Linked DNA regions of Saccharomyces cerevisiae S288C. The protein of the gene in region 2 purifies or fractionates together with the protein of the main gene of each other region. This does not show direct contact. Each region holds a gene or a part of one and is shown on either strand. Other genes may lie near its edges.

Region 1 (3,285 bases), 600 kb from region 2:
AAAATTGAAAAGCTCTTTTAGTTTTTTGCCCATTGAATGGACTTCATTGCCTTCTGGATTGAATTGGAAACAATTATAAAAGACAAGGTTGAGGTCGTCGACAAATTGATCAATTGTTTTGTACTTCCAGTTCATTAAATTATTTGATATTGTACCCAAATCCATAGGATTCTTCACGACATCAAAGTAATTTGGTAGATTCAAAGCAATCGGATCAACAGGTTGTAAAAAGGGAAAATTTATATCCGAATTTTTTTTACTCATCAAAACCTTTAGTATTTTCAGACAAGTCCTGAATTTTTTTTGTAAAGTCTTTGATTTTGGTTTGGAGTTTTCATATATATCAAACAAATCTTTTGATTTGGGTGGATGAATTGTTCTTTTGGGTCTACCACCACTGACGCCTTCTCTATTTCCGCTTTCCCCAATATTGTCATTGGTGGTACTAACTGAACGTCTAATGACAAGTGGGGAATCCATATCCTCATTTTTTTTCCGGTTTCTGCTTGTTTTCTTCAAGGCAGAAGCGGGTAAAACTCTTGGTGGCATTGCAGATAACTTTTTTTCAAAATACTTTTGAATCCTTTTAGCCATCGAAGAGATTGAAGATTCTGGACCATTAAAGTTTAAACAATTATCCACCATTGTTTTGAAGTCCGATGTGACTTGCTCTACTGAATGATACACGTTGCCCTGCAATTTTGTTTCAATTAAAGACAAATCCATTGGGGTTTGAACGTAGTTGAAATAATGCGGGATGTTCAAAGCAATAGGATCAACCGGCTTCAGAAACGGTCTAGCATCTTTTAATCGTTTGGTCGCCTTAATGGAGCTTAAAAGGTATTTACTTTGGTGTGGTGGTAGTTCCTCCGCTTCCATTTCAGCTTCCAACGCCGGCTCTGTTTCCCGTTCTAGGCCCAAAGGGTGCTCGGGAAAACTTTCCGGAGTGGATGCATTACTAATGGAAATGGGAGACAAAGTTTGGTGGGCGTGGGATGAAGAATTCAGGTTAGTGATACCGCTGCTCGCAAGTTTGTAATTTTCCTCGTGTCCATAGTGGAAGATATCCCTGAAGTGGGGTCCATCGTCGATACTTACCGCGCTGACATTACCGCTATCGTCACCGACGCCGACATTGATATTGTTTTTGTTACTACTACTCTCGCTGCTGCTGTTGCTGCTCCTGCTATTTGCAGTAGCACTCTGTGGTGCTGCCAGTAAAGCAGAATGTGCGTGTCTTGTATCCATGTTAGTACGAGACATAGCCGCCGAGGTTTATTTCGCTCAATCTGTTTGTTTCAGTTTTTCCGCGTTCTCTCTTTTTCGCTCTTTTCTGGCTACCGCGCCCGCCTTATATATAAAATCTCTTCCGAATAACAAAGTGGCCGAAACAAGCGCCAACGTCGACCATTTTGCCACCGTGTCACTGTGCACGAGCAACGAAAAACTGGCGTTGGTTGCGCCTCACGAATTGCTTGAGCCTCTTCCCAATATCATCGCGCATTTATTTGAGTCATTCTCTGCCGCTTTATTATTAAAAGTCTGTGTGCTATCAAAATGCTCTTGCTCCTGTTCACCCTCTATGCGTAAACACTTGCGCGTTTCTCCCTTTCTCTTTTAGCGTTGTTGACGTTGCACTCTTTTTTCGCCTCTTTCTTTTTTTAGCTAGAGGGTCACCCTGCCTGCTTCACTCCATTAAGGGGAAGAAGAGTGGAAAAGTGCCGTATATAACAATGGTATATAGCAAATCCCGATTTAGTAGGAAGATAGAATAGTGAGCTCTTCCAAGGTAACCACGTCACATTATACTCATAACCATAGAATTCACAGAATTGAATCATGTCATTATATTACACCTTGGTTTTTGCCATTCTAGTGGTGGAGATTTTCATGTTCTCCATTCTAGCCCTACCAATCCCTTCTAGATACCGTAGGCCTCTCACCTTACTGTTATTAAAGCCGTTCAAATCCTCCACAGTGCAAGTTGCGATCAAGTGTGTACTTGGGTTCATTCTTTTGCTTTTCATCGATTGTATCAACAGAGTGTACAGCATCGACAAAGAGCTGCAGTTAAGTAGCGCCTCTCAAAATAATGGCGCTATAATCGCTCAAGATAGAATTGAGGTTCTTTCTAGGAAATTCTTTGCCCAAAGGAATATGTATTTGACAGGTATAACTTTGTTTTTGACCTTTGTCGTCGTTAGGACTTTTGGGCTAGTCATAGAACTTTTAACCATGAAAGACATATACAGAGCATCGCCTCCAGTAGCCTCCAGCGATGTCAAGAAGAACGACTCTGTTACTGCCGAAGCTGCTGCTCAATCCGGCGCTTCCAAGGATGACCACGGCGATGAGAAAAATTTTGAACTATTGAAGAAAATTCAGGACATCGATGACGAAATTGCACGTTTAAAGGAGAAGTCGGAATCGTTGCAAGAAGAAATAAATTAGTTTGACGTTTTATTCCTTTTCTTCTGCACAGAAGTGTGTATATATATATTTATATATAGTCGATGTGCAAAAGCCTACATTATTTTTCTTTTGATTTTTATTTTTTTGTTCAAGTAGGTTCATGCCGACAGTAAATCCTTATGCCCTACCTAAATATAAACACCCAAATATATATATATATATATATATATATAAATAATAAAAACGGAAAGGAAATAGAATAATAATAATAATACTACACGTTTACGTATGTAACTCATTCTATTATTCAGACTTTGATATTAATAGAATTATTACTACTAGGTTTCCTCACTTCAAAATCTATAAATATACCGTCATGCTCTAATCGATTGGAAAACTCAAAATATTCTCTTACTGTAGCATTGAACGTCTCAATTAAAACACAGATTTTTTGTATCCTTGTTCTCAACTTCATATCTTGGATCTGCTTCCAAATTGTCACCTCCCGCCCCCCAGTAACTTTCAAATCTTCCACATTCTGATTACCAATTTTGGCTACATCTTGCTCATCTTCCATACATTTGCCAAAAATATTAAAATCAGGCACCGGTATCTCAAAATCTAGACCATTACCGCATAAGGTAGCTAAGTTTCTCGTCTCACTTTCGTTCTTAGCAACACTCGCAACCAAATCTTTCGGGACGGGTAAAGGCTTCATGTACTTACTGCCTCCGTGGATTGTCCCCCATTTCATGTTCGCCAAATCTATTTTTTCGACGACTCTTCTATTGGTTTGAATAAATACCAGTTTGAATATTGTAGCAATACTATTGTGTTCCTTGATTTCATTAGAAAATCTCAACTCTGGTGGAC
Region 2 (3,231 bases):
GAAACATACCATGTACGTAAAGAAAGCTTTCCATGAGTTGGGCATTCCAGTTATTCCAAATCCTTCTCATATCGTCCCAGTGTTGATTGGTAATGCTGATTTGGCTAAGCAAGCTTCTGACATCTTAATCAATAAGCATCAAATCTACGTACAAGCTATCAACTTCCCTACGGTTGCTCGCGGTACCGAAAGATTGAGAATTACCCCAACGCCAGGTCACACCAACGATTTATCTGACATCTTAATCAATGCAGTTGATGATGTGTTCAATGAGCTACAGTTACCACGTGTCAGAGACTGGGAAAGCCAAGGTGGCTTATTGGGTGTTGGAGAGAGCGGATTTGTGGAAGAGTCTAACTTATGGACATCAAGCCAACTATCTTTAACTAATGACGACTTGAACCCTAATGTTAGAGACCCCATCGTTAAACAACTAGAGGTTTCTAGTGGTATCAAGCAGTAAAACAACCAATATATGCATGGGCTGAGATAGAGGTACAAGGAATTTGTAAATCAGTAAAAAAAAAAATTAACAGTTTTTTTTTTTCATTTTTTTTTTTTATTCTTATTTATGTATGATACTTTATTATTATTTCTCTTAATTATTTATTTATTTAACTAACACGATGAGCACTTTTAACTGCAATGGTTAAACTGTAGCAATGTTGGTAAAAAAGCAGGGAAAGTTCAAAAATAATTTATGTATTTTTCCTCGGGGGTACAGAAAGTAAAGAGAGAGAAACGTATGAGTATATATAGGCTAATGTAATATGTAGTGGTAAATAAAGAGACAAAAGTTAGCTATTCTTGTTTGAAATGAAAAAAAAAAAGCACTCAAGCGTTGTTTTTTTCCAATTCATTTTGCAAGTTTTTTGTACTTTTCTTCAATTCATTAGACAATTCATCGACGTTAAATTCTTGGGTAGTGGAAGGTTCGTGTTGTGGAACTTCTGGCATAACTTGAGCTGAAGATGTGTAAGCCTTAGACTCTGGTTCCAATGGAACATCAGCGGCCAACTTAGAAGTGCTGGCGGTTTGAGGACCGGCAGTAGAAGACACAGGAGCAGTCTTAGATTTGACCAAGTTGGAAATTGGGCCCAATTTAGATTCAACCTTGTCCAAGTATGGTTTTGTCTTTTCGCAAGCCATTTGAGAAAACTCTTGGGTCTTTTGCTTAGAAATTTCTACACCTTGAGCGACAGTAGCATCAATTTCATGCTTGTAGGAATGGTAGATAACTGGCAAAGTGAAGGTAAAAATGTCAGCAACAAAGACGATGGTCCAGATAGAGAACCAGGAGAAGAATTTGTGTAGTAGAAATAAGGCAACAGCGGTCTTGAAAGTGTGCTTAGGGACTTGAGCGAATACAGTCTTTCTTATGTGGGCTTGGAAGACTGGTAGCTGTTTCAAAGCTTCATCGATATGAGGCTTAATAAAGCCGGCGATATTTGGACATTCTTTAGGACCATACTTGGTGATTAAACCTTGTCCCAAAAAGAGCTTGGATACGAATTCAATAGATCCTGTTGTGAATAAGATAGTGTAGGCAACCTTCAAAAAGAAAGTGATCAAGTTAACTTTTTTCAAAATTAACAAGGCTAACAGAGACCCACCGAAATATTTACCGGTTTGAACAGGGTTCCTCCATAATAGCAAATCGCAATTACAGCTTTTTTGTTGTTGTTGTTGTTGGGCTTGGCTATGTTGAGCTGAGGCGGACATATTTGCGTGTGTGAATATATATTATATATATATACGCTTGCGGGTAGGAAGAAACAATTAAATATTTGGCTTGAGAGTTGAAAAGAAAGAGATCAAGAAAAGGGAATTGTTGAATAAAAATTTGAAAAATGCGAAGTTGAAGTGCCATAGAAGAGAAACAGCCCACACAGGGGAGAAGCCCACTGGAAAGGGGGCACTGACCAACTTTAAATAGGAAACAGAAGATACCACAAGCCAGCGATACAACAGCACCAAACACCGAAAAGAATAGCCAAAGCTGTCCTCTGGTGTTGGAAAAACTGGAAAAAACGCAACTGCGTTGGCTGCTACGGTGAAAAATTTTCCTATGACTTTTTTCACTGCTTGTTCGTGCGAAATTACCGCAAACCCGGTAAAATGTACACGTATCAAGTGATAAACAATTTCGTGTCAAGTGAGCAGAATGGAGCGATTTGGAAAAAAAAAATTTTTATTGTTTTTTCCCCCGGGATTTTGCTCGAGATGACTGAAATTTTGTAATCGATGAGTCTATACCAGAGGCAGCAAATATCACCAACATACACAGGTATACACAATCTCATGTCCACACACACGTACAGACACGCACATATATATATATATATATATATCCCCATAGGTATTTATATATACAAAAGAATCCTCGTGTGTTTGTGTGTGCAATAGCTAGTTTTGCGCTGCCTCTTATAGTAGACAATATCACTTTTTCAATAAAATAGAACTTGCAAGGAAACAAAATTGTATCGCTTCAAGATGCTACGATCAACCACATTTACTCGTTCGTTCCACAGTTCTAGGGCCTGGTTGAAAGGTCAGAACCTAACTGAAAAAATTGTTCAGTCGTATGCGGTCAACCTTCCCGAGGGTAAAGTTGTGCATTCTGGTGACTATGTATCGATCAAGCCGGCACACTGTATGTCCCACGATAATTCGTGGCCTGTAGCTTTGAAATTCATGGGGCTTGGCGCTACCAAGATCAAGAATCCTTCACAGATTGTGACCACTCTGGACCACGATATTCAGAACAAATCAGAGAAAAATTTGACCAAGTACAAGAACATCGAAAATTTTGCTAAGAAACACCATATAGACCACTACCCTGCCGGTAGAGGTATTGGTCATCAAATTATGATTGAGGAGGGCTATGCTTTCCCCTTGAACATGACTGTCGCATCTGACTCGCATTCAAACACCTACGGTGGTCTGGGGTCGCTGGGCACTCCAATAGTGAGAACAGACGCTGCAGCCATATGGGCCACGGGACAGACGTGGTGGCAGATCCCACCAGTGGCTCAGGTTGAGTTGAAAGGTCAATTGCCTCAGGGTGTTTCCGGAAAAGATATCATTGTCGCATTATGTGGGCTTTTCAACAATGATCAAGTTCTAAATCACGCCATTGAATTCACGGGTGACTCTTTGAATGCATTGCCTATCGATCACAGACTCACTATTGCTAACATGACCACCGAGTGGGGGGCTCTTTCTGGTTTG

What was found.
Region 1: the proteins of RTN1 (region 2) and YET3 purify together in Saccharomyces cerevisiae (affinity purification with mass spectrometry, with the first as the bait; one study listed by BioGRID). This does not show direct contact.

What each region holds. Positions count from the first base shown.
Region 1 is NC_001136.10:329,002-332,286, reverse strand, and holds YET3 (Yet3p), read left to right. Parts: upstream 1-1,839; coding exon 1,840-2,451; downstream 2,452-3,285. Other genes in the region: BDF2 (Bdf2p), read right to left, coding at 1-1,263; AHK1 (Ahk1p), read right to left, coding at 2,720-3,285. UniProt on the Saccharomyces cerevisiae protein: May play a role in anterograde transport of membrane proteins from the endoplasmic reticulum to the Golgi. May be involved in invertase secretion.
Region 2 is NC_001136.10:928,636-931,866, forward strand, and holds RTN1 (Rtn1p), read right to left. Parts: upstream 1,723-3,231; coding exon 835-1,722; downstream 1-834. Other genes in the region: HEM1 (5-aminolevulinate synthase), read left to right, coding at 1-463; homoaconitate hydratase LYS4, read left to right, coding at 2,494-3,231.